Ovis aries: one gene and its partners. The protein of the gene in region 6 interacts with the protein of the main gene of each other region in a pairwise test. Links are inferred from orthologs where the notes say so. Each region holds a gene or a part of one and is shown on either strand. Other genes may lie near its edges. The genes, in order: transducin-like enhancer protein 1, COPS6, APLP1, LRIF1, GDF9, TK1 and CCDC90B.

Region 1 (2,757 bases), on a different chromosome or scaffold from region 6:
GCAGCAGTGGAGCTCACATCCTCTCCTCCATGCCCTTTACATTCCAAGCACAGCTTTAAAGTGTGAAGCTCTGTGGGAATAGTAAGTTAACAGGAAGAAGAGGCAGTGGAAACTTTGCTCTGAGTGTTGAGTTCCCAAGCAGTTCTCTCATGGATTCTGCCTGGTTTGCCATTGTGATCGAGCCTTGGAATACCTCTCTCCTATTCTAGTCACTCCCCTGCCTGCTCCCTCTTGGTCTGCAAAACCAGGCCCATGACCCCCCACACCATCAGCCCTGTGGTGGGTTACATCACCCTCCCTTCAGCAAGCCCCACCTGAGGCCTGGCAGAACATCTGTGCTCAGCAAACCCCTGTTGGTTGGTCATTCTTGGTGGTGATTCATTGTGTGTGTGTGTGTGTGTGTGTGTATGTGTTTTAAGTATAGTTGATTTATACTGTTGTGCTAATTTCTGCTGTACAGAAATACATATATACATTCTTTTTCTATATTCTTTTCCATTATGGTTTATCTCAGAAGATTAGATGAAGTTCCCTGTGCTACAGAGTATGACCTTGTTGTTTATTCACTCTAAATGTAACATTTTCATCTACTAACCCCAAACTCCCAGTCCATCCCTCTCCCTCCACCCCATCCTATCCTTGGCAATCACAAGTGTGTTCTCTGGGTCTTTGGTGGTGGTTATTACTGAGGCACGAGATTCCCCTTCAAAAGAACAAAGGCCTTGTGCTGGGATTCCAGGAGGACCATGCCCAGGGGTCAGTCAGCAATCAGCTCCCTCTGCCCTGTGCGTCTGAGTCAGGAGGCTGGCATGCCCCTTTGTCTCCAGGAGTCCAGATTTCCTAACGCAGGGCTTTTTCTAATAGAGAACGAGAGGTTGAGTCAATACATGAGCTCATGCTTTGCTGGCACGAAGGGCATCTTGGTGTTACTCACTCATGGAAATGGGTGTGCTCCTGGGCCCCGAGTCCGTGATGTGGTGATACAGGCCTTTGCGGTTACAGGCAAGGCCTGCCTCTTTCTGTAAGGAATACACTTGGGATTCTGTGTTTGTCTTTTTTTTTCCCCTTTTCACACTTAAACACTTTTCCAGACCTGGGAGGAATTTCACCTTCCAGCAGATTTGTAAGAATAGCTCTTGGAGCGTATTTAACTTCTCCTGTGTGGTGACCTAAAACAGCATTCCATTTCTTCAGCACTTGGATCATGAAAAAAGGAAAAGAAAATCTGCAGGTGCCGTTTCCTCTCCTCCTCGAGGGAAGAAGGTTGGTTTGATCTTGCACATCAGCAGACACTGAGGAGATGACACACGCCCGGCGAGTCCAAAACTAACAACACAACAGTGTTTACCTTGAGCTCTGGCAGGAAATCATTATTCAATCTGGTTTGTTTTATCAGGCAATTCCAGGGCCACACGGACGGGGCCAGCTGTATTGACATTTCTAACGATGGCACCAAGCTCTGGACGGGCGGCTTGGACAACACAGTCCGGTCCTGGGACCTGCGCGAGGGGCGGCAGCTGCAGCAGCACGACTTCACCTCCCAGGTGCGCGCTCGGCCCTCCCCGGGACCCACACGGTGCTCCGTGTGTGGCGCCCTCCCCAACCCTCGCCCCCAGGAGAGTGGGATCTAGACAAACAGACCGGACTTTTCATCTGAGACACACACACACACACACACACACACACACAGACACACACACACACACACACCCACCCAAATCACCCTGAAACACTTAGGCTGGCTTTTAAAATGCTGTAGGTTAAGACTTGTTAGTTGTTTTGTTTATCGGTGAATTCATTGCAGGAATTTGTGCCGTGAAGAACGTACAGGGTCTGATGTGTTGTCCATCTCCTCACCATCTGATGTAGGGGTGAGAGATGATTTGATTCTCATATAAATAGACCTTTAAAAATATGCAGGGATGTCACAAGTAGTAGAGAAAAATCACAACAGCTCTACAAGTTAATTCATTTCACTTACATCAGGGAGCTTAAAAAATACAGTGGTATCTCAGTGGATGCCTGTTTTATTAGTCATCCCTTAGAAACTGGAGTCATGGCTGACTAGATTTATGGAGTTTTGGAATGATGGGAAAATGGCAACTTTGATTGTGCGTTGTGGAGATTATTTAGATGTCAAGTGTCTGAATCTAGGCCTGTTTGGGGAAAGACAGTGCGCGCCATGTTAAGTGTTTTCTGATGGTGGAATTGTTTTGTTTTGTCATGACTTATTTACTTTTTATTTTGGAAATAAAAATAATTCGACTCAGAAAAATAGGACAGAAATGGAAAGCAACTAGACATTCAACTAAATTTCATGTCCCTGTCAAAATTTTGTTGAGTTCCTTATAGTCTTCCCTGTTCCTTTCCAGCCCTGTTTCCATTATGGTTAGGATTCTATTTTCGGTCTGCCTTTTTTTATATTAAAAAAAAAACTTCTTATGAAAAATTTCAAATATATATGAGAACAGAGAATGTTCAAGCATATATGAAAGCACAGAGAATTATATGATAAACTCCATATGCCCATCACCCAACTTCAGTTCCTAACACATAATCCTTCTCATCTGTCGTCCCTGCCCCCAAACACTGGATTATGTTTATTAAAGTAAATCCCAGACATTGTATCATTTCATCCATAAGTATTTCAGTTAGTATCTATAAAAGACAGGCTTTCAAGAATCCACGTGCAATACAGGAGACGTGGAGTTCGATCCCTGGGTCATTAAGATACCCTGGAGGAGGAAATGGCAACCC
Region 2 (4,207 bases), on a different chromosome or scaffold from region 6:
CTTTTAAATAGTAGGCAGTTGCTCTGGAGTATAAGGCTTCTTAGCTGGACTGAAGGCTGAGGGGGGAAAAAAAGGTTATTCTGCTGTTAAATTTGCTAGTTTGCATTGCTATTTCAATCTTTACAGAATTCCTGTCTTTTTGTTGTTTCAAATGCTTTCAAAACATTGTTCAGATAACTATAAAACTAAAAACAGTGGTTAGGAGCGCTTTAAGAGGGATTGACTTTAACAGAAGTCACCCTTATCATCAAAAAACATTTCCGGGGATCTGCTGGTTCTGGGCACCAGTACGCTTCATATGGTCAAGATCAAGGTCTCTACCTGTTCTCTGGGCTTCACTTGTGCTTCAGATGGTAAAGAATCTGCCTGCAATGCAGAAGACCCAGGTTCAATCCCTGGGTCGGGAAGATGACTTGGAGAAGGAAATGACAACCCACTCCAGTATTCTTGCCTGGGAAATCCCATGGACAGAGAAGCCTGGTTGGCTATAATCCATGGGGTCACAAAGAGTAGGACACGACTGAAGCAAATTCACACCTGCCCTGTGTGAGGTAACACTTTGGGTACGGTGCAGACACACAGTGAAAGAGCCAGCTAGGTTGTAGGGGCAATGAGATGGGAGATGGGGTAAAGGCAGTGTACCCAACTTGCTTGGGTGCAGGGGTGGGGAGAGGGCTGGAGTTGGCCAGGTTTGCCAAAGTTAAGTTTGGTAAGATTGATGGAGATGGAAGGTAGAGGGAAGTTGGGACGGGTTAGAAAACGCTGGGGGTGTTAACAGAAAGAGGAAAGATAAGCCGTGTAGACAGAGTCACTCAAGACCAGGCTCCACTGCAAAGCATTCACTCAAACGTCACTTAGGTGCCCCTGTGTCAGGCACGGATTTGGTCATCGGTGTTACAGTGATGAAGGTGACAGAGGGCCCTCAGGTGGGCGTGAGTGAGGCGTGTGAAAGGAGCAGACGTGAGGGCCAGTGTGGCTGAAGCAGGGGAACCAAGGAGCAGCAAAGTAGAGCCCATGGCCAGCTGGTCAGGCAGGGCCCGAATCTTGCAGGGCTCTGCAGGCCGTGATTAGGGATTTCGGTTTTATTCCGAGCGCGGCAAAATGACGTTCCATTCATTCTGCAACAGTCTTAGGAACTAAGCGGCCTTATCCCAGTTTTACTGACGAGGACGATCAGGGTGGGGTTAGGTAATTTGTTCACGGTCAGTTGCAGGCGAAAAGGGGCTACAAACACCAGCCGGATCTCCCTGCCCCGGGCCTTCCCCGCAAGGCCCGAGTCTTCCCCGCAAGGCCAAGTAGGAACGGCCCGGAGTGGCCCAGGGTGCGGGCAGGCGTGCGCCTCGGCGACAACGCGCATGCGCCGCTGCCTACGGAAGCCGGGAGGGAGGGGGCGGGGCCGACGCTGGCGGGCGCGGGGGAAATGGCGGCGACGGCGGCAGCGGCGAACGGGACTGGAGGGAGCAGCGGGATGGAGGTGGATGCTGCAGGTAACGGGCCGTGCGGGGGCGGCTTCTGGAGACTTCCTGGCGGGCCTGTCGAGGCCTTCCTAGAGTCCCGGGAGCAGTCGGGATGGCGAGCCGGCAGCGAGCTCCCTGGGTTAACTTGCGGGAGGGATGGATGGCCCGACTTTGCCGTCTCCCGTTCCCGGCTCCCGGGAGGAACGTGGGGCCTGGACTCTCACCCCCTCTTTCCCCTCCTTAGTCGTCCCCAGCGTGATGGCCTCCGGAGTGACTGGCAGCGTTTCAGTCGCTCTTCATCCCCTCGTCATTCTCAACATCTCAGACCATTGGATTCGCATGCGCTCGCAGGAGGGGCGGCCTATGCAGGGTGAGTGTTCGGCGTCATTCTCCAGCCTCCTCCCCTCAAATAGTGGTCCTTTCTCCTTCCTTTGCTGAAGCTAGTTCCTCCTCCGCAAATCATTTCTCTAGTACTTGGTTCACGTGACCTCAGACCCTCAGGCTATTATTAGAGAAGTTTGAGGATTCCTTTAGTGTTAGTCGCTCAGTCTTTGTGACTCCATGGACTGTAGCCCACCAGGCTCCTCTGTCCTTGGAATTCTCCAGGCAAGAATGCTGGAGTGGGTTGCCATTCCCTTCTCCAGGGGAATCTTCCTTACCCAGGGATTGAACCCAGGTCTCCTGCATTGCAGGCGGATTCTGTACCATCTGAGCCACCAGGGAAGTCCTGGAGGAGTCCTCACCCTCACCTCTTCTGTGTCCTTTTCTCCTCCAGTTATTGGGGCTCTGATCGGGAAGCAGGAGGGCCGAAATATTGAGGTGATGAACTCCTTTGAACTGCTGTCCCACACCGTGGAAGAGAAGATTATCATTGACAAGGAATATTATTACACCAAGGAGGAGCAGTGTGAGAGGGGAATAGACGTGGGGGAGAAGAGTGGGAGTAGGGGAGAAAAGAATGGGGAAGATGGAGAGGGTTGGGGAAAAAATAAACAGAGAAATAGGACCAGAGTAGAGGAATAATGAAGAGAGAGTAGCTGAAGAGACCTTAGAAAAAGAACACATATGGGTTATTCCTCGCAAAGAAAGCAAGGAGTGAGAAAAGACAGAATAGATTAGTTGTTCTACGTGGAGCCAGGATGGGAAGGGGAGAAGCTGGTAAAAACACACCAGGAGTTTCAAATTGAAGGATGATTTAAAGATATACTGTGTGTCCTGGCCCCTTTCTCTCCAGTTAAACAGGTATTCAAGGAGCTGGAGTTTCTGGGTTGGTACACCACAGGTGGGCCACCTGACCCCTCCGACATCCACGTCCATAAGCAGGTATACACGTTCACACAGGTACATATTGGGGTGGAGACGAGAGAATGAGGGGAAGGAAGATGGACCCTGACACACATGTGCATCCTCCCTTCTTCCAGGTGTGCGAGATAATTGAGAGCCCTCTGTTTCTTAAGTTGAACCCTATGACCAAGCACACAGATGTGAGTACAGTGACCCCGTGCCCACTTTGTCCTGCCTGCCTGTCGCTCTGCCCCTGCTTTTATTGTATGACATCTCTGTTGAATCTTTTTGCAGTTTACCATCTGTGAGACTTGTCATTTAACCTTTAAACTGCATTTTCCCCGCATGTGAAAATGGGAATGAGTTCCACTTCAGTAGGTCCTTGGGAAGATTAGCTGAGGAAATGTAATGTGAAAAGGGCCCAGTCCGGTTTTGGTGCTTAGTGTAGGTTCAGGTGTCTGATGTTTAGTTAAGAGCTGTGCTCTCTCTTCTTCACAGCTTCCGGTCAGCGTTTTTGAGTCAGTCATAGATATAATCAATGGAGAGGTAGGTAATGCCCTACCCTTCAACCCACACAGCCTGCCCCTGGGGTCTGCTGCTTTTGACTCTGTGTGTCCCATAGGCCACCATGCTGTTTGCTGAGCTGACCTACACTCTGGCCACAGAGGAAGCAGAACGCATTGGGGTGGACCACGTGGCCCGAATGACAGCAACAGGCAGTGGAGAGAACTCCACTGGTAAGGGTGGCTGCAGGGGCTTCCTTAGAAGTGGGGGGAAGGTGTGGCCACACACCTTCTCAACTTCAGCCTGACCACCCCCCCAGTGGCTGAACACCTCATCGCACAGCACAGCGCCATCAAGATGCTGCACAGCCGCGTCAAGCTCATCTTGGAGTACGTCAAGGCCTCTGAGGCAGGTAGGACAGTTATCTCCCTGGTCCCTGAAGCACGTTTGCTCTCCCTCCTGGGGAAGTGACAGCATCCGCATTGATGCAGCTTCTTGTGCCTTCAGGCGAGGTCCCCTTTAACCATGAGATCCTGCGGGAGGCCTACGCTCTGTGTCACTGCCTCCCGGTACTCAGCACAGACAAGTTCAAGACAGACTTCTACGATGTGAGTGCAAGGCTCAGGATGGGGAGGTGGGGCTCCTGCTGTCTTCTGCATGCAGGATATGACCGGCTCCTGTTCCCTGGTCACATGGTGGGGGACCCAGAGCTCCTGGGAAACTTTGTTTTTTTTCTGTCCCCTCACAGCAATGCAATGATGTGGGGCTCATGGCCTACCTTGGCACTATCACCAAGACGTGCAACACCATGAACCAGTTCGTGAACAAGTTCAACGTCCTCTATGACCGACAAGGCATCGGCAGGCGGATGCGGGGGCTCTTTTTCTGACGAAAGGGTACTTGAAGGGCTGACGTACAGGGGTCAGACAGCTGTCAAGGGGAGGGGTGCTACACTCCCTTGA
Region 3 (3,500 bases), on a different chromosome or scaffold from region 6:
CGGTCCTGGCCCCCGGGAGGCAGAGTTGAGAGGGGTGATGACGAGGAAGAGGAGGAATCCTTCCTGCAGCCAGTAGATGATTACTTTGTGGAGCCCCCACGAGCTGAGGAAGAGGAGGACGACGACAGAGTCCCACCCTCAAGCTCCCAGACCCCTGCAGGGGTCAGCAAAGGTGAAGCCATCTCTAAACCCCACCCTCTCCACCCTAGAAGGAGGAGGATTTAAGAGAGCTTTGGTGTAGGGGCATTTGAGAAGGGACCTGCTGGGGAGAAGCCCTGTGGGGGGAAATGGGAGGGATGGGAATGGCTTTGGATAGAGTGGAGGTGAAAGGGCCACCCTGTGAGGAAGGCAAAGGGTAAGGGTGGTTTGGGAGTACCCAGGAGTGAAGGAGCCATTTGGTATGTCTGAAGGATTATTTGGTGGAAAGCTTGAAGGATAGTGTGATGGATTCCTAAACTTTGCAAGAACAGGTCCAATTCAGAACCAGATCTGTGATGCCAGGCAGCAGCTATGGTTGAAGTGAACACACAGGGGTCTCCACTGCGCTCTAGGAAATGCAGTTCTCTGGGAAGGGAAGCTGACCTGGAGCTGGGCTTCAGGCTGACTCCTGGATTCCCGGCCTTGCAGTGACTCCCACCCCGAGACCCACAGATGGTGTGGACGTGTACTTTGGCATGCCTGGAGAAATCAGTGAGCATGAAGGCTTCCTGAGGGCCAAGATGGATCTGGAGGAGCGCAGGATGCGCCAGATTAATGAGGTGATGGTACTGGGGGCCCCAGGATCCCCCATAACACAGAGCTCCCTAATTACCAGGAAATTGCTCAGGGACACATTGAGACTACCTCTCAAGGTTCCCGCAGCCTCCATCATCCCCCAGCCCTCCACCCACCCCTAAGATGACCAAGGATCCCCAAGCCACCTAGAGTCCCATTGAGACACCGCCAGATTCCATGGACACTCTGATGCGTGGTACTCTTCCACTTTAAATGCCTCCCGAATCCTCTCTCTCTTGGTGATCCAAGAGGCCGCGGGACTTAAGGGATCTGGAGACTCTGAAGAAGGATGGGATGTGGGGACTTAACTGGGTACAGCAGAGTGGCTTCTAGGATCCTGAAGCTCCCCTTTCCCAGGTGATGCGTGAGTGGGCCATGGCTGATAACCAGTCCAAGAACCTGCCTAAAGCCGACAGACAGGCCCTGAATGAGGTAGGACAGCCTCTAGAGTGTCCTGCTTTGGTACTTGGGCCTATCCACTACCTGGGGCGTAATGAGCTTCAGCCTGGCTCATGCTTTTTCTGGCCTCATTCAGTTTCACCCCTTCCTACTGATATGGGCTTCTCCTGGCCCCATCCCTACCCTTGGCTCCGCCTCTCTTGGCCTACATCCAATCTGACTTTGCTTTCCTCTTCTTCCTCCTCCCACTGGCCATATTTTACCCTCTCTTAACCTGATCCTAACCTCTGAGGGCTGGCTCTGGAGACCTCTCCCAAGCTGGGGCCCGCAGACACAGCCAAGTCCTTTTCAGCCTCTCTCTGATGCTCAGCCCTGGCCCCCCACCCCCGACTCTGGTCCTGCCCCTCTCATTTCACTTTTACCCAATCCCTCCTCAGTAGACCCAGCCTCATCACTCTCCCAGCCACCTGTCTCAGCCTCACCTTGGCACAGCCCTACCCTGTGTAGACCCAGCTCGGCTTAGCCCCATTCCCTGACTCCTGCTCCCGCTCCACTCAGGCTTATTTAGTTACAGCCTGTCTCCAGAGGGCCCTGCCCAGGCCCAAGCCCCACCTTTCCTGCAATACTTGGTCCCTTTCAGCTTCACAGGCTCTGTTCCTACACTCTTCCTACCCATACAGTGGGCTTCACCCGGGCTCCCAGTAGAGCTGGTTCTGCCCCTACTCTACCTGGCCCCTCCAGCCAGTCTCCTGTCTTCCAGTCCCACCCCAGTTCGACTCTGCCTAGGCCTGGATCCAGGGCATCCCACCCCACTTATGGTCCAATAGCCCTCCCTTTCCAGACTCCCTTTGACCTGGGTTTCATCCAGCTGGGCCTCTCACCTGACCCTGTGCCCACCCCGTCACCAGCACTTCCAGTCCATCCTGCAGACCCTGGAGGAGCAGGTGTCCGGCGAGCGACAGCGCCTGGTGGAGACCCACGCCACCCGAGTTATTGCCCTGATCAATGACCAGCGCCGGGCCGCCTTGGAAGGTTTCCTGGCGGCGCTGCAGGGGGATCCACCTCAGGTACGGGAGCCGTGGGGGGTGGGCGGAGGGTAGAGGGTGGAGAGGGCTGGGACGGGCCTGGGCAGCCTCCATCCCTTCCATAGCCGGAGCGGGTCCTGCTGGCCCTGCGGCGCTACCTGCGAGCTGAGCAGAAGGAGCAGAGGCACACACTGAGGCACTACCAGCACGTGGCTGCCGTGGACCCCGAGAAGGCCCAGCAGATGCGCTTCCAGGTGCTCAGCTCTTCCAGCTCCAAACGCTCTGCCATCCCTCGGACCTTGGTCTCTTGGACCCCATCCCTCAGATGCTTCTCTTGCCCCTCAGACCCTCTTTCTTTTTTAGCAATTCATTTATTCATCTATTTCTGTGGGGCTGAGCTGGGTCTTTGTTGCTGTGCAAGGGCTTTCTCTAGTTGTGGCAAGTGGGGGCTGCTCTTCCCCGTGGTGCTCGGGCGTCTCACGGCAGCGGTTTCTCTTGTTGTGGAGCATAGGCTCGAGGCGTGCGGGCTGCAGTAATTATAGCCCGGGGGTTCAGCAGTTGTGGTGCGCCAGCCCAGCTGCCTCAGGGCACGTGGGATCTTCCCAGACCAGGGATCGAACCTGTGTCCCCTGCATGGGCAGGCGGATTCTTAACCACTGGACTACCAGGAAGTCCCTCAGACCCTCTATCTGCCCCTTGGACCTCCTTCCTCTCCCTGGATCCCCCCTTCTGTGCCTGGGACCCATTCTAATCCCTCAGATCCTTAGTTGCTGACCCTGGAACACTGCCTCCACCACCCCCTGTGCCTCTGACCCCTTTCTTGTTCTTGAATTCCCACTTGCTGCCCTTTGGATTCTTATTTCCTGTCCTAGAATCCCCCTCCTGTGCCTGGAACCCTGTTCCTGTCCCTCAACGCTCCTTCTTCCCTAACTCCGCTTGTTTCTCCCTAAAACCCCTGTTTAGTGCCTTTAGATCCTAATTCTTATTTTTTGGATACTCTCTTCCTGTCCAAGAATACTGATTCCATACTCTTGAGCTCCAGGCCTTGCCCTTGAACCACATCATTTCTAACTTTTTATAATGAATTATATTTTTAAAATTATAACAAATTATAATTTATTTATTTTAAATTTTATTTATTTATTCATTTATTTTTAATTATAGCAAGTTATAATTTGTTTACATAGAAACTAATTATATTTATTTATTTTTAATTTTTGGTCACACCCTGTAGCACATGGGGTCTTAGTTTCCTAACCAAGGCTCAAACCCACATCTCCTGCCTTGGAAGGCACAGTTAAC
Region 4 (4,121 bases), on a different chromosome or scaffold from region 6:
GAACATGAATCTAGGTCTCTGTAACTATCTTCTTTCTCCAACTCTACCAAGGTCTTTGTACCTCAACTGTACCATTCTGACTCCAGCTTTGCTCTTTACATATACAGTCCAAATCTAAATAAACTTAATGCCTACTATCACAGATATCTTCCAGATTTCTCCTTTGTACTATAAGATTAAATTTGGGTTTTACATTTTATACCCTGCTGAATTAGAGAGATACTTTTAAAGCAATCAACATTCTGTATCACATTACTGAAAGCTTTTACAGCAGGAAAGAGGTAACTCAAGAAAAATGCAAGTATCCATAGAAAATAAGAAAATCATATAACCATTTTAAGCTTATAAAAATGATTTTACAATAAAAATATTATCAGATATATAAGACCATGAAGCTTCCAAAAAACTAAAGAGCTGACATTAATCCACGTATTTACAAAAGTATCTTTGAATGTCCTGCAGATTAATTATAAAACAACAGAATCAAATATGCAAACAGTAACCAAAATAAATGTCAAAGAGCTTCAGAAAGGCATCTGGCAAATGTCCCAAATACGTGATTTAAAACCTCAAGGATTTGAAGAAAAATGCATTCAAAGATGATAAAAATAACGCCTAAACCAGCGAGTTAATTAACTCCAAACAATTGATAAATGTAGAAAACATAATTCAATTTGCAATGTTTTAAAATATAGCCAAAAGTAGAAACAGGATAATAAAGTACACAATAAACAAAAAGTAAGGTTCTTACTCTAATTTCCGGTATTTAAAAAGAATGAAACCCTAAAACAAATTGTATTAAACTAGGATAAATCAAACGTTAGCAAATATACAGGTATTGAAACAAGATAGAAGAAATCAGCAACCATTAAAGACTAGCTCCATTTTTGCGTATCCATACAAGGCACTATCTGACTTTCCTCTCAACTTCCACCAAAAATAAACCAACAAAAAACGTACATGCACAAAAGCTGGCTCTTGTTCTGACCTGAAATACAATGGCTCCTTCTTGGCAGTTTTCAGTGCAGTTTTAGGTAATCACTTTTGATGACCATTTCATTTTAGATTATTAAGCATGCTTTTTAAAAGTGTTTATCACAATCAGGTTTCATATCTACTCATAACTACCTACTTCCTGGGCTAAAATTTTTACAGAAGTAAAATCGTATCCTTAAAATTATAATAGCTAACATTTAAACAACGCTTTTCTATTTTTACTGCACTAAGTATTTTAGTATATTCATTCTTTTAATCCTTAAAATACCTCTGGGTGTTCTTACTTACAGACTGGAAACCAAGTCACGGCCTCACAAATAGTAACTAGCAAATCAAGGATTAAACGTAGTGATACTGGTTTTCTTCAAACATAAATGCTCTTCCATGATTTTTACATCTCCATTTCTATGATTTCTTCTTCACATTTTCTTCTACAAGGACTCAACCTTTTTTCTCACCACTTATTAGATACTCACAAACCATGGATAGTTTAACTTAAAATATTCTACCTTAGCTTACAATTTTGTTCGTTTTATTTCATCTTGAATAATGTTTAAAAAAAATGAGTTAGTGATACACTATTGCCTAAATTTACAAACAAGTGTCTAAGAAGTACAGCAATCTACCTCTGACAAATGTAGTTCCTCTACATACACATCCAATTCGAGATGGCATTCTCATTATACCTTCTTCAAATATGCTGTTCCAAAGGATTTTACATGATAATTCCTCTTTCATTTTTTAATATCTTCAAATAAAGCTATCATTTGAACAAATTTAAAAAAATTGATTCCCTTATTCTAAAACAACTTTTCAGTTTCTATATTATCAATTACCAAAAACAACAACAACCTTTCCTTCCCACAAACTCTTACATTACAGATATTTTCCCTGACGATCCAGCGCCACCTGTGCTGCATTTGCTAATTCGCTCTCATTGCTGCGTGTTTTTCTGCGAGTGCGCGAGAATCTTCCAGAAGGTTTTGGTCATACAGGCGCGCCGGCCATGTTGATTTTCCTCTCCCATGGAGATCTACTCTGTCAGCCTATGAAATTCAGACGATGGAGTCCTGCGGCGCCAGGGCAGAGGCTGACTGCGTCAGACTCTGAAGGGGGACGTGCGCTAAGAGCTCTAAGCGCCAAACTGCCGCGCACTTTCCCTGGAATGCTCACACAGAGGGATCAAAGGCGTCTGAATTGCAGAACGTCAGGAAACGACGGCTGACTCGACATCCTGCTAAGAGACAGGAGAGGGGCCGCCGGGTCGAGGGAGATTAGAAACCGGTACTTACCAATGCGAGGCGTTGCCTGACTTTTCCTCTGTAGGTTTCAAGAAGACCTTCTGTGGGTTATTGGACATTTTATAGGGTTGGGAGGGGCCAATACATCCAGGAAAGGGGGCAGTGTCGGGGCCGAGGTCCTCCAAGGGAAGAGAACGAGAGCGAGAGCGAGAGCGAGAGAATGTTGGGCTGGAGTTGTCCCGGAGCACAGAGGGGTTCGAAGCTGAAAGGAGAGAGACGGCAGGCTCTCTAGAGGGCGTATCCTCAGGCTCCGGAGGGAGGCGGCGTAGCCACCAAAAACCGGAAGAGTAGAAGAGACTGAAGGGGCGGTTCCGTCTCTAGCCTCTCAGAGAAGGGTCTCGAGTCTCCACCCACTCAGCGCCAGGGACTTCGCTCCAGAGCCGCCCGGAGTCAGCGCTGGAGGCGTGGCCTTAGTGGCACCGCCCCTATGGATGCCGGGTCAGCCGTGAACAACCGAGCCAGCAGGGCCCGACCGACCCCGCCCACCAAAGCCGCCAGCTAGCAAAGCTCAGCCTGCCAGCTTCCGCTATCGTCACATCCGGTCACCAAGATGACTGGCTCGCTAGCGCCCCGCCCTTATACTGCGATCCAATCAAAGGTGCTGTCTGCCATCTCTTCTTCCGGATCAAGGAACGAATCGCAGAAGAAAATTCTCCAGATGCCTACGCAAAATAAAATGTTTCCGGGGCAATCGCAAATTTCCTCCCTTTGTATTTGCCGCTGGTCTGTTTTCTTTTCCGCCCGTGCTTTAAAAGACATTGGAGGGCTCTTTCGGAGTCATATGAACTTACGGAGTGAGAAAATTTTAAGACACCTGCCTGTGGCAAGCGTCTGTTTTATTGCTACTTCCTGAGGGTTTCTCGGGTTTTATTCTCTTACTTAAAGGTTTGCCTCGAGACTTAAATCTACGCTCTCCCTCCACCCCTTAATACTCGCTGGAAATAACACTGTCATATAGTTTCTTCATTCCCTAAAAGTTTCGTTTCTTGTATTGAGTTACTTTTTGGCATCTTTACCTGAATCTCCAGAGAAATACTTGGCAGATGTCTCTTGATTACTGTTGTTAAGTCTCTTATCTGAGAAACGGGTTGAGTCTTTGGCTTCAGCTGGGACTAGGACGAAGTTGTGGGAGGAGTGGTTTAAAAGATCTAGTTTTATTAGCTACCAGCAGTAAACATGTAAACAGGCTCATACTGTTCAAATTTAGGAGACTAATGTATGGTAGCTAAGTTAAAGGTTTATTTTGGTCTTTTAGAAATGCTGGTTAGTCATTCTCCTAACTCGTTAATGAAATGATGAAAGATCTTGACGTCTCGATTATCATAGAGTAATACTTTTAAACTACTATTCACTCTTTGGTAAAGATTAATTTTGACGATATCGAATCCTGTGTGTGTGAGTGGTATTTATCTTTCAGCCAAATATTCCCATACTAAAGAGGAGGCAGAGAGTTGAGCCCTTTTTACTATCTTGGTTTTGATCTTTATCTTCCTCCTGTCTGTGAGACTTCCCTGGTGGCTCAGACGGTAAAGCGTCTGTCCGCAATGCGGGAGACCTGGGTTCAATTCCTGGGTTGCGAAGGTCCCCTGGAGAAGGAAATGACAATCCACTCCAGCACTCTCGCCTGGAAAATCCCATGGACGGAGGAGCCTGATAGGCTACATCCCATGGGGTCGCAAAGAGTCGGACACGACTGAGTGACTTCACTTCCTGTCTGTGAAAGCAAAATTACTTAAATGAGTTGCTCATTCTTGGCTTGTTTCATTTTTCTCACCACTCATTTCTTAACTTTTGCGTTTCTTAACTTCTCATATCCATCAGTAC
Region 5 (4,091 bases), on a different chromosome or scaffold from region 6:
GCCCACTGTTCACTGCCCAGGAGGAAGGCAGGAACGTTGCGTGTGAGGCGATTCCATTTTCGGAAAGTGCTTTCTTCTTAAGGATACTGCTGTCCTGTACAGCTGACTGACTTTTCCACTTGATGCAACGTGTCTGTAAATGTTTTTTTCATGGAATTGCTGGCCATGTGTAATCTAGGACTAAGTTTTCATTCAGCAGTTTGGGTGTGTTTTATAACCCTCCTTGGCAGATCCGAGCCAGGGAGGCTTGGCAGACAATGAACTTAAAATTTACCAGTATACCTCGGTTTTATCAGCCTGGGTACTGCACAGACTGGTTCTGTATCACGGTAAGTATATTCAGCTCTTCTTAGTGTACCCATGTCTCATTTATCTGAAACATAATCTTTAACCTGATCTTAGCTCAGAGGCAAGAACATAAATACTTATACAGGTAAGAACAAAAATACCTAGCAAATTCTCCCACCATTTGAGTGATTAATAAAAAGCAAATCTTTCATTTATTTTCTAGCACCTGAAAACGTCTTTAAACCTTTCAATTAAAGTATGCATAGATGAATGAGCAGACCCAAATAAAGGCACCAAGATATTATACTTTAAAGTGAGTCAAGATTAAATGTGATGTCCTCCTTTTTAAAGCATATTGCAGTATTCCAAGTACATATCCTTAAAAGGCTGCGAGAACTAGGCAAAATAGCAGTTCTCTGCTCTCTGGAATCTCAATTTCAGTTGTGAATTTCTCTCACCCTCCAAATCAGCATGCAGTAAATAAATATTCTAAGCACCTGGAAGTGGGAGAAGTGGTACAGATCCAGGGAGAAGAGTAAACCCAATACCATAAGTTGCATACAAACAGATCTGGGTATCATCATGAATCATTAGCTGTTCCCCATGCCTTCGAAGTTTCAGCAAGCATCTAGGGAACATTTTAAAAATCCTAATCTCTCTCAAGAAATCGGCCGCTTTTTTTTTTAAAGATCACTCCTTGTAGCCTTTCAGCTACATAGCTAGTCCATTAAGTTAAGAGATTTTAAATAAATGCCAGGGGAAAGGAAAAGGAAAACTATATGGCCAAGTAAATCTGAATCTAATTAGGACAAACTGAATGAATAGGGTGTTGTCAGCTGATAAAAATTATCCACAGCTAAGCATCCTTAAGGTCTGATTACAGAATTGAACCTAGCCCACCCACACACCTAAAGTTTATTTAAGAGACCAACCGAGGCTCTTCCTGGTTTTTAGGAAGAAGACTGGTATGGGGAAATGTGTTCCTTGCTAATTCTTCCAAGCCATGGCGCTTCCCAACAAATTCTTCCTTTGGTTTTGCTGCTTTGCCTGGCTCTGTTTTCCTATTAGCCTTGATTCTCTGCCTTCTAGGGGAGAAGCTCAGATTGTAGCTAGGACTGCGTTGGAATCTGAGGCTGAGACTTGGTCCTTGCTGAACCATTTAGGTGGGAGACACAGACCTGGTCTCCTTTCCCCTCTCTTAGAGGTTCTGTATGATGGGCACGGGGAACCCCCCAGGCTGCAGCCAGATGACAGAGCTTTGCGCTACATGAAGAGGCTCTATAAGGCATACGCTACCAAGGAGGGGACCCCTAAATCCAACAGACGCCACCTCTACAACACTGTTCGGCTCTTCACCCCCTGTGCTCAGCACAAGCAGGCTCCTGGGGACCTGGCGGCAGGTGTGTAGGAGCAGATTGGTTAATGGGTGGAGGGAAGAAGAAAGACCTTTTTGCATTTCAGTTACATAAAGGAGTTGGCCCTGCTCCTTGACTTGCATTTTACTTTGCATGGTACTCAATATCCAAACAAACCTGGTGCTTGATCTTACTGTTTATTCCTAATGGCCTCATGGGTTGATGTAGGCTAAATCTCTTGCTAGAAGAGATTTAATGGCCTTAAAACCTGGAAAGAGTGCTGCTGGAGGTTAGCATCTTGTCCAGGGTCACAAAATCAAGACTGTAAAAAAAGGTATTTTGACTTCGTTGCATATTCTTTCTAGTCTACCAATGTTGGCCTGGACATGAACCTACAGTACCTCTTTCAGCTGTTAGTGTGCTTTAGTAAACAGGATGTTTTCCCCACGTTTGTTGCTTTCTGTGAGAGGAAAACTGAAGTCCTTATGTGGAACAGTAGATCACCCTACAAGGACAATGTGTTAACAATCTTGTGTGTGTGAGAGAGATGGGAGCAGTGCTATTTAAAAAAGAAAAAAAAAATTATATTCATTAGCTCGTGACTTACAGAAAACCCTTCTAACCCAGCAGGTCATTTGTGGCTATCTTAAACCCTTTCTCCTTCCTTGACGTCCTGTTTTGTTACAGTGGGTTTAGAGCTTCCATTTGTTGTCAGTCTCAAGTGTTCCAAATTAACTTAGAGAAGTACTTTTTCTTTATTGATTCTGCCGGTAAGAACTTAGAATGTTTTCTTAACAAGCCTGGCAAGTGTCTTTTGATAGTTTTCCTCTTAAAGACTTTCCAAGAGAAAAATACTGCTTTCCTTTTTAGCTTTCTCTTTGTTTGCAGCAACTTAATAAGATTCTAAAACTTCAAAATATAATGATTCCCTCTTTTAATTCCCCACCAAAGCTATTCTGAATTTCTGGTGATCCAGCAGTAAGTGCTGGGACTTAGATATGGTACAGATAACTTGCTTTTTCTTTATAACCCCTATCCCACCCTGACGTTTAAGGCTTGAGAATGTGGGGAGAAAAGGGACAGAAGCACATTCTGAGGTACTGATTCCTTGATTTGACTTCCTGTTACATATGGCATTACTGTTGGATTGTTTTTCTTCTCAGGAACCTTTCCATCAGTGGATCTGCTGTTTAACCTGGATCGTGTTACTGTTGTGGAACATTTATTCAAGTCAGTCTTGCTATATACTTTCAACAACTCCATTTCTTTTCCCTTTCCTGTTAAATGTATATGCAACCTGGTGATAAAAGAGCCAGAGTTTTCTAGCAAGACTCTCCCTAGAGCTCCATACTCATTTACCTATAACTCACAGTTTGAATTTAGAAAGAAATACAAATGGATGGAGATTGATGTGACGGCTCCTCTTGAGCCTCTGGTGGCCTCCCACAAGAGGAATATTCACATGTCTGTAAATTTTACATGTGCGGAAGACCAGCTGCAGCATCCTTCAGCGCGGGACAGCCTGTTTAACATGACTCTTCTCGTAGCGCCCTCACTGCTTTTGTATCTGAACGACACAAGTGCTCAGGCTTTTCACAGGTGGCATTCCCTCCACCCTAAAAGGAAGCCTTCACAGGGTCCTGACCAGAAGAGAGGGCTATCTGCCTACCCCGTGGGAGAAGAAGCTGCTGAGGGTGTAAGATCGTCCCGTCACCGCAGAGACCAGGAGAGTGCCAGCTCTGAATTGAAGAAGCCTCTGGTTCCAGCTTCAGTCAATCTGAGTGAATACTTCAAACAGTTTCTTTTTCCCCAGAATGAATGTGAGCTCCATGACTTTAGACTTAGCTTTAGTCAGCTGAAGTGGGACAACTGGATTGTGGCCCCACACAAATACAACCCTCGATACTGTAAAGGGGACTGTCCCAGGGCGGTCGGACATCGGTATGGCTCTCCGGTTCACACCATGGTGCAGAACATCATCCATGAGAAACTTGACTCCTCAGTGCCAAGACCATCCTGTGTACCTGCCAAGTATAGCCCTTTGAGTGTTTTGGCCATCGAGCCTGATGGCTCAATCGCTTATAAAGAATATGAAGATATGATAGCCACTAAGTGTACCTGTCGTTAACAGACTCCTGTCAAGTAAAACCATGAGTGTCCTGGCCAGTGTAAATGCCGCGCCCCTGTCTATGCCTTTGGGAGGAAGTTTCATGTGTCAAATCTCTGACTGTACGACACTGTGTGTTGTGTAAGGAGGAGCCTGTATAGATTAGCATATTCTGTGGCATCTGTCAATGTAAGGGATAACAGCTGCCTTCCTCATGGCCAAATGTTTAAATGAAATGTATTTCTTTTGGAGAACTTTGAATTTTTTCCCAAGTGATTCTTTTTTCCTTTTTGTAGGAGTCTTCTTTTTGATGTAAGAAAATTTTAAAACTTAATTAGCAT
Region 6 (3,583 bases):
TGGGCCTTCTGCGATGTTGCAGACAACGTGGGCAGCTCTGACTGTACCTTGGATCATTCAGGAACCCCTGCTGGGCAGCTCTGACTGTACCTCGATCATTCAGGAACCCCTGCTGCAGGCCCTGGGTTCAGTGTTTGGGCAGAGAGTGGGGTGGCATGTGAACAGGGCGCAAAGTTCAGGTGGAAGAACTGAGCTCTCTGACCGCGGGCATCACTGTAGCAGGCAGGGTGGAGGACCCCTCGCGGTCCCCAAACCCTGGTGTGGAGGGACCATGTCTGGACAGGGAAGGTAAGATGAAGAAGGTGCTCCTCCCAGGGTGGTTCTGCTCTCAACCTTCCCCGTGGATTTCTGGCAGTGTCTAGAAACAGTTTTGTTTGTGACAATGGGGGTCGGGTCGGGGCACTGGCCGACAGGTCCTTACAGGCTAGCGGCTGCATTTCTGTGACCTGTGACAAGTCCTTTAGAGAAAAGGAGGGGCCTCACCTAGAGCCAGGCTGGAGCCTAGGGGTGGGAGGTGCCATTTCCATAGTGCAGGCTCGGCAGACCCTGCAAACCCTGCAAACCCTGCAGAGGCCAGTCAGATCTGGCTTTGGTGAATCCTGCTGGAACTGGTTTGGGTTCTCTAAGCCCTGTCCTGGTCCTTGTCTGGGTGAGCCCTCGGGTTTTGTAACTACGCATCTCCACGAGTAGCTTGGAGAGAGACCCTTTGCCCAAACACTGGAACTCCCCACTTCATCCAACCCACAGACCAGATAGATGATTGACCAGTGAAAGGTCACCAAAGGATTTGTTTAAGTAGTGGCCCCTTGGGCCACTTGAAATGAAATTTGATTTACCAAGTAAGGACTTCCCACGGGTGGTGTGTTGAGCCATCCTGCTCTGTAAGTGGCCAGTGGAACTCCTGCCCCTTCTCCAGGCATCACACGGCACATTATGTTTAAAAGAAGAAAAAAATAAAAGCAAACACACAGAGCCTGCCTCTCAGCCAGATAGCATATGTAATAAATTATTTGCGTGTCCTTAATCCTTAAACATCGCCAGGGGCCTTCCTTGCCTTTTCCTGGGCTCAGGAACATGAAGTCATTGCCAGGGTCACAGCTAATGGGTCCAACGGAGAACCTGGTTCAAGCCTGAGGCAGCGGATCCAAGCTTTGGTCCACTGCAGTGGCAGACGGCCTCTCCACCTGGGTTGCATCACCCTGGTGGCAGTTCCAGGCGCCTAGCCTGGAGCGCAGCCTGGCTCTGCTGTGGAAAGTTGGTGCGATGGGGGAGTGAGTCGGGAAGCTGTGGATGTGCAGGCCGTGTACCAGATGGGAGGGCTGGCGCGGCCTTGTTCTCAGCTCCACGTGGATGCAGGTAGCTGTAGCTCCTGGGCCTGGCAGCGTGTCTGCAGCTCCTGGAAGGGGCTGCCCAGGGCGGAAGCTCACTCCCTCCTCCGCCTCTCACCCTTTCCTCTAGTTCCCTGACATTGTGGAGTTCTGCGAGAACATGGCCAACTCAGGGAAGACCGTCATCGTGGCTGCACTGGATGGGACCTTTCAGAGGAAGGTGAAGTGTCTGGTCCAGGTCTTGGGGTGGGACCGGGGACAGAGGCCCAGGCAGCGCACAGAAATGGACAGCCCAGGGCGCCCTTGATGCCCACACCATGCCTAAGCCCAGGCACTCAGGCCAGCCAGTCCCAGCTCCCTGGGGTGCCCCTGACTCCACCTGCCTAGGGCAGGTGCTCTGGGGAAAGGCAAGGTCCAGGCTTAGTTTCCTGGCTTCAGGGGTGTGAGTCAGGGTCTCCAGGAAAAGCCCACCCGGCGAAATGAGTGTGCACTCCTCTTTCTGTGGATTGTACAGGCTTTTGGGACCATCCTGAACCTGGTGCCCCTGGCAGAGAGCGTGGTCAAGCTGACGGCGGTGTGCATGGAGTGCTTCCGAGAGGCCGCCTACACCAAGAGGCTGGGCGTGGAAAAGGAGGTAGCTGCCCCCTGCCTTCTCCAAGGGATGGGCGGGTGGGGGGCAGGGAGGGGCGCCTACACCTAGAGGCTGGGTATGGAGAAGGAAGTAGCCGCCCCCTGCCTTCTCCCAGAGGCGAGGGGTGGGGCGCTGCGCCCCAGCCCCGCTCAGTCCAGGCGCTTCCTGTCGCACCGCACGTCAGGTCGAGGTCATTGGAGGAGCAGACAAGTACCACTCTGTGTGCCGCCTGTGCTACTTCAAGAAGCCCTCGGGTCAGCCCGCCGTGCTGGACAGCGAAGAAAATAAGGAGAACTGCCCGATGACACTGGGAAAGCCCGCGGAGGCCGCGGGAGTCCGGAAGCTGTTTGCCACTCATCAGATCCGGCAGTGCAGCCAGGCCAACTGAGGCACTGGCCCCTCGCTGGGGCGGGCGCTCACCCGCCACCTGCTCCCCCCACTCGCCCGCTGTCGCCCCCTGGCGGATGCCGGGCCTTCTTGGAGGAGGAAGTGGCGGGGGGCGGGGTTGGGGCGGGTAGAGGTTTCACCACCAGCAGTTGGCCTGCTGCTGCGCCCTTTCCCAGGCCAAGGAGGCGGCTGGTGGTCTGCACTGCACACTTCCCTCCTTGCCTGCCCACCAGCTTTTCTCAGTTCCCATCCCGGCTGCGGGGCGGCTGCGGGGCGATCGCAGTCTCCCCAAGCCGGAGCTGGCCGCCCTATGGGGCGGGGTCTGGCCGCTGCAGCCATCCCTCTTGGGGTGAGGCCAAGCCGCAAGCTGCTGTGACATCGGCGTCGCCGGCTTCTTCCCCGTTTGTGGCGTTTGCTGTTGAGTTTCTGTTCTCACTGGGAAGTCCATATCCCAGCACCTCTGGCTCAGCGTGGGCCTCTTCCCACGCAAAGACTTGGTCCCTCTGCCTGGGATGGGCTCCTGGCTGCCCCTGGGGATGGCTGGACTTCTTATTTCCTTTGGGGCTGAAAGCCCTTCCTGATCTGGCGATCATTTTCTCCGGAATTACAGCTTCTCCCATGTGGGTGACACTCACCCTGCTCTGGGGCTCAGCTCCCAGGGGCTTGTTTTCTAAGGAGGTGGGGGCTGTGTGTATGTGGAACTGATAACTAATATTAAAATCTATTGGTTGGTAAAAGCCTATTTCTCTTTTAACTGTCTGGGATTCCCCGGGTCTCACTATAGACACCTCTGACATGATTCAGGTATGGGGATTTCCTTTCAAATCTTTTTCTAGTACTCCTGACCCCTTAACCACAAATCTTTTTAACTGAGATATGAGCATCAAGTGTTCTAACAGGCATGTTTGCCTGCTCTTCTGCCTGGGAGGGTTTCAGGTCAAGATGAGTGGATGCAGGAGCCTGGGGCTTGGTTGGAAAGATGAAGCCTTGGTCTGTGCTGCCAGCTGGGGCTGTGAGGTCAGGTTTTATTTTGTGAAACAGACACTTGACAGTTCAGGAGCCAGGAAGACCAGCTCTGCCGTGCCTTGGGAAACGGGCTGTGGACAGCTTATGGGAAGGTGAGGGTGCTCCAGGGTGGGGTGGGCCTGGGCTGTGTGTTCCAGATGGGGCCCCAGTTCCCCACCCTTACCCCAGCTTCTCCCTCTCACTGGCTTGTGGCAGGTTACAGAGGTGCAGT
Region 7 (4,118 bases), on a different chromosome or scaffold from region 6:
AAAAAGAATTTTTAAACAAAAAAAGAGAGATTATATACAAAACGGAATATTACTCAGCCATAAAAAAGTGTGAAATAATGCCATCTGCAGCAACGTGGATGGACCTAGAGACTATCATACTAAATGAAGTAAGCCAGAGAAAGACAACTATCATATGCTATCACCCACATGCAGCATCTAATAAATGATACAGACAAACGTGCTTACAAAACAGAAACAGGCTCACAGACATGGAATAGAAACTTAAGGGGAATGAGTGTGAGAAGGGATAAATTAAGGGTTTGGCAGCAGATACAAATTGCTATGTATAAAATCAAATCAACTAGGTTTCAATAAGAATTTTCAAAACAGAAATAAAGTATAATGGTAAAGAATCTGAAAAAGAACATATAGTATAGATGTGTATATATATAACACCACACTGGAAACTAACACAACCTTGTAAATCAACTATACTTGAATTAAATTTAAAAATTAAAAAATATTACTAACTTTAGAGTTGCAACACTTCAGTAACATAGCTGATCATTAATATATATTTTTACATGCTGGTCTGTTGACATATGCTTTTCTAGTTCCATCAAGACAATCAGGATTAATATATTAAATAATAAACCAACACAAGATCTATGTGACTGACTTCTCAGGGACAACCAAAAAATCTGTTTTTAGAAGCTCAGTGTTTTTGATGTTTTGCTAAGTAAGAGAAATAGTAATGAACTAGGAAACCAGCACCAGTGGTCACAAAACTTCCACAACATCTTCCTGTGCCTTATTTTATCTTTTAAACAGTAATTCAATTAGATGAAAACTAAGATCCTTCCCTGAGTCAGAGGTCAAGGTTTTCAAATTCCTTGAATACTGACTTGAGGCAAGCTTAAACTACTTGAACATAGTAAACATTCAATAAATATTTGTTTAGTAATGAGGGACCCAAATTATATTAGCTCTGAAAGTTTACAAAAAATTGAGACTGGGGTGATTTCCCAGGGTTCAAAAAACATCCGTTTTGTACATCATAATGTGTATGTATGCTAAACTCCATGGGGTCTCAAAAGAGTTAGACATGACTGAGCGACTAAATACACACACAAACCTAATACCTTTGTTCAGTCGCTCAGTCCTGTCCGACTTTTTGCAGCCCAGTGGACTGCAGCAGGCCAGACTTCCCTGTCCTTCACCATCTCTGCAGCTTGCTCAGACTTATGTCCATTGTGTCAGTGATGCCATCCAACCAGCTCATCCTAAGTACAAATACCGTGCCAAGGACCCTGGGCACTAAACAGCAGTCTTAGAGATGGGGGGGGGCGGCGCGGGGAGGCGGTCAATAACTGCAGTCTTGCTGTGTGACTAAAATGAAACGAGCAAAACAGCTCAAAGTTGTGGTGCTGGACATCTCAGTTCCCCTGCACTTAAGATTTAAGGTGAATAGAGAACGTTGAGGTTAGTACGAAGTAACTACTCTGCAGACAACCCCAAAGGGTTTAAAAATTGTGGGGAAAAGATTCTGGAAACGACTCTCAATAAATTCAGTTGTCCAGCACACACTGGTGACAGGCGCACCTGCCCGTCAACCACTGTAGCTTCCCGTGATCACGTTCCTTTTTCTTGAAAGGCGATTGCCAAGTACTGAAAACCACAGCGTAAATAAAGCGTTTGTTGTTCAGTCGCTCAGTCGAGTCCGACTCATTGCGACCCTACAGGCTGCAGCATGCCAGGCTTCCCTGTCCTTCACCGTCTTTTGGAGTTTGCTCCCGAGTACCGAAAAATATGGTTTTTCCAGTGGTCATGTATGGATGTCAGAGTTGGACTGTGAAGAAAGCTGAGCGCCGAAGAATTGATGCTTTTGAACTGTGGTGTTGGAGAAGACTCCTGAGAGTCCCTTGGACTGCAAGGAGATCCAACCAGTCCATTCTAGAGGACATCAGCCCTGGGTGTTCCTTGGAAGGAATGATGCTAAAGCTGAATCTCCAGTACTTTGGCCACCTCATGCGAAGAGTTGACTCATTGGAAAAGACTCTGATGCTGGGAGGGATTGGGGGCAAGAGGAGAAGGGGACGACAGAGGATGAGATGGCTGGATGGCATCACTTGACTCGATGGACGTGAGTCTGAGTGATCTCCGGGAGTTGGTGATGGACAGGGAGGCATGGCGTGCTGCGATTCATGGGGTCGCAGAGAGTCGGACACGACTGAGCGACTGAACTGAACCGAACCGAAAACTACAGCGAAAATAGAGCGGACCTGAAGTGAAACGGGCGCTGTAGATTACCAAATGACCTGGGCTCGAGGTAGGCACCCGAGTAACACAGTCTAAGTTTGAACAAACCGCGAAAGGTGACGGCCCTCTCCGGGCACAAACTACACGCCTGCGAGGGGGCGGGGACGACCAGCCTCCCTTGACAGAGAAGGGTTCAGAGGGACACCTGGCGGGGCTCGAGCGAAAGAGCCAGGCGGGAAGACAGGCCTTCGGAGGCTCGCGCTCCCGTTCTCGGCCCTCGCGCCTCCCGCCTCAACCCCTCGGGGCGAGGCTCGGCAGCAGGGTTGCCAGGCCCCGGAGCGGGCTGGAGGGAGGCGGCGGCACCCTCGCCTTCCTCTCGCCCAAGCCGGCACCACCTCCCCACAGCGAACAAAGGCATCGGGCGACACGGTGCCTCTCCTCACCTCTCCGCAGGGTCGGCGAAAAACGCCCACAGGGGCTCAAAACCTCAGAATACAGGAGCGGCCGAACCCAGCGGCCCCACATTTCACGGGTTTTCCAGCCGGAGGCAGCCGGGTGAGAAGACGGGGCGAATCCCGCTCAGCCTTTCGGGCAACGTAGTTCTGGCGCCAAGAGGATGCCGGGAAATGTAGTTTTCGGCCCGTAACACCTCCAACGCGCTTCCCAGCACAGGCTCGCACCGCGCGCAGTCTCGCGAAGTTGGGCCTCTCCACAGACGGACCCGTAGCTCACCAGCATGGTTTACAGCGGCTCCGCTTCTCTCACCGCCCCACCCCAACCAGTGCACGCCGTTACCGCCCTAAGAAGTGGAATCTTGTTTGAGAACCTTCCGACGCCCGTTCCCTGGCAATGAGATGTACAGCTAAACGGCCGTCTCCCGCCAGAGAGCCAGCGGCCATCACTTCTTTGGGTTAGGGAACGACAGAGTAACGTCCAACCCCGCGGCAACCTGGGACGTGCAGGCCTTGGCCGCTGAGCATGCCGGGAGTTGCGCAGAGCGCTTCTGGGAAGTGTAGTCCCCCCGAGGCTCTCGTTTCTAATTTCTTGCTGCTGCAAAGCTTGCCGCTTCGCCCTCTAGTGTACGGGAAGAAGGGAAATTGAATTCTCTCGTTTCTTGGGACGACCTGATTTATATATCACCATTTTATCTCGCTCAGACCTCAGTTACTCCAGAGTTTTCCCCACATGGTAAAATGTTGAAAACAGCAGCACGCAGTAGTTGTGGGGTTCAGATGCGGGGATGTATTCTTTGTAAATTCTTCTCTGTTAGCTTAAACGGTGAAGAATCTGCCCGCAATGCGGGAGATCTGGGTTCAGTCCCTGGGTGGGGAAGATCCCCTGGAGGAGGGCATGGCAACCCACTCCAGTACTCTTGCCTGGAGAATCCCACGGACAGAGGAGCCTGGTGGGCTACGGCCCATGGGGTCGCGAAGAGTTGGACGGACACACTGAGCGACTAACACAACAACAAAGCGGTAAACAGTCGTCAGGTTTTAGCGGCTTAATTATTCTTACAAGAATGTAAAGTTACCACTCAGTCATCAGATTTGTTTTCAGAGCTTTGTGTCAGCCGCATGACAAGCACCGTTCTAAGCACTGAGACACATTAAAAGAACAGGAGTCCCTTCGCTGTACAACTGAAACTACGACGACATTGTTAACCGGCTATACCCCAATGCAAAATAAACAGTTTAAAGTAGGCGGGAAAAAAGAAAACATAATTCCTGACAGGGCTTTAACAGTGTATGGAGAGGAAATATAAGTGATTATTTAAAAATTGAAAAACAAAGAACAACCCCTCCTCAAAAAGAGTTTAATCTCACAGTTTAAAAAAATAAAATAGAACAGAAGGACATACCATTATTACCTGTTAAAGATTTTCTAAAAAATAATGATCA

The links.
Region 1: the proteins of TK1 (region 6) and transducin-like enhancer protein 1 interact in a two-hybrid assay, tested with the Homo sapiens proteins (2 studies listed by BioGRID and IntAct). The link is inferred for Ovis aries from reciprocal best matches to the Homo sapiens genes TK1 and TLE1.
Region 2: the proteins of TK1 (region 6) and COPS6 interact in a two-hybrid assay, tested with the Homo sapiens proteins (2 studies listed by BioGRID and IntAct). The link is inferred for Ovis aries from reciprocal best matches to the Homo sapiens genes TK1 and COPS6.
Region 3: the proteins of TK1 (region 6) and APLP1 interact in a two-hybrid assay, tested with the Homo sapiens proteins (2 studies listed by BioGRID and IntAct). The link is inferred for Ovis aries from reciprocal best matches to the Homo sapiens genes TK1 and APLP1.
Region 4: the proteins of TK1 (region 6) and LRIF1 interact in a two-hybrid assay, tested with the Homo sapiens proteins (2 studies listed by BioGRID and IntAct). The link is inferred for Ovis aries from reciprocal best matches to the Homo sapiens genes TK1 and LRIF1.
Region 5: the proteins of TK1 (region 6) and GDF9 interact in a two-hybrid assay, tested with the Homo sapiens proteins (2 studies listed by BioGRID and IntAct). The link is inferred for Ovis aries from reciprocal best matches to the Homo sapiens genes TK1 and GDF9.
Region 7: the proteins of TK1 (region 6) and CCDC90B interact in a two-hybrid assay, tested with the Homo sapiens proteins (2 studies listed by BioGRID and IntAct). The link is inferred for Ovis aries from reciprocal best matches to the Homo sapiens genes TK1 and CCDC90B.

What each region holds. Positions count from the first base shown.
Region 1 is NC_056055.1:55,331,953-55,334,709, forward strand, and holds part of transducin-like enhancer protein 1, read left to right. Parts: intron 1-1,396; coding exon 1,397-1,544; intron 1,545-2,757. UniProt on the Homo sapiens protein: Transcriptional corepressor that binds to a number of transcription factors. Inhibits NF-kappa-B-regulated gene expression. Inhibits the transcriptional activation mediated by FOXA2, and by CTNNB1 and TCF family members in Wnt signaling.
Region 2 is NC_056077.1:36,794,581-36,798,787, reverse strand, and holds the start of COPS6 (COP9 signalosome complex subunit 6), read left to right. Parts: upstream 1-1,407; 5' UTR 1,408-1,420; coding exon 1,421-1,487; intron 1,488-1,701; coding exon 1,702-1,827; intron 1,828-2,232; coding exon 2,233-2,364; intron 2,365-2,691; coding exon 2,692-2,780; intron 2,781-2,878; coding exon 2,879-2,941; intron 2,942-3,239; coding exon 3,240-3,287; intron 3,288-3,363; coding exon 3,364-3,478; intron 3,479-3,564; coding exon 3,565-3,657; intron 3,658-3,752; coding exon 3,753-3,853; intron 3,854-3,993; coding exon 3,994-4,134; 3' UTR 4,135-4,207. UniProt on the Homo sapiens protein: Component of the COP9 signalosome complex (CSN), a complex involved in various cellular and developmental processes.
Region 3 is NC_056067.1:45,877,628-45,881,127, forward strand, and holds part of APLP1 (amyloid beta precursor like protein 1), read left to right. Parts: coding exon 1-172; intron 173-627; coding exon 628-758; intron 759-1,131; coding exon 1,132-1,206; intron 1,207-2,081; coding exon 2,082-2,240; intron 2,241-2,323; coding exon 2,324-2,452; intron 2,453-3,500. UniProt on the Homo sapiens protein: May play a role in postsynaptic function. The C-terminal gamma-secretase processed fragment, ALID1, activates transcription activation through APBB1 (Fe65) binding. Couples to JIP signal transduction through C-terminal binding.
Region 4 is NC_056054.1:88,340,050-88,344,170, forward strand, and holds the start of LRIF1 (ligand-dependent nuclear receptor-interacting factor 1), read right to left. Parts: upstream 2,801-4,121; 5' UTR 2,357-2,800; coding exon 2,289-2,356; intron 1-2,288. UniProt on the Homo sapiens protein: Together with SMCHD1, involved in chromosome X inactivation in females by promoting the compaction of heterochromatin.
Region 5 is NC_056058.1:42,113,805-42,117,895, reverse strand, and holds GDF9 (growth/differentiation factor 9 precursor), read left to right. Parts: upstream 1-1,291; coding exon 1,292-1,688; intron 1,689-2,806; coding exon 2,807-3,771; 3' UTR 3,772-4,018; downstream 4,019-4,091. UniProt on the Homo sapiens protein: Required for ovarian folliculogenesis. Promotes primordial follicle development. Stimulates granulosa cell proliferation. Promotes cell transition from G0/G1 to S and G2/M phases, through an increase of CCND1 and CCNE1 expression, and RB1 phosphorylation.
Region 6 is NC_056064.1:53,319,805-53,323,387, forward strand, and holds the end of TK1 (thymidine kinase, cytosolic), read left to right. Parts: intron 1-1,458; coding exon 1,459-1,548; intron 1,549-1,842; coding exon 1,843-1,962; intron 1,963-2,143; coding exon 2,144-2,347; 3' UTR 2,348-3,083; downstream 3,084-3,583. UniProt on the Homo sapiens protein: Cell-cycle-regulated enzyme of importance in nucleotide metabolism. Catalyzes the first enzymatic step in the salvage pathway converting thymidine into thymidine monophosphate.
Region 7 is NC_056074.1:11,965,025-11,969,142, reverse strand, and holds the start of CCDC90B (coiled-coil domain-containing protein 90B, mitochondrial), read right to left. Parts: upstream 2,801-4,118; 5' UTR 2,746-2,800; coding exon 2,664-2,745; exon of another isoform or gene 1-2,663.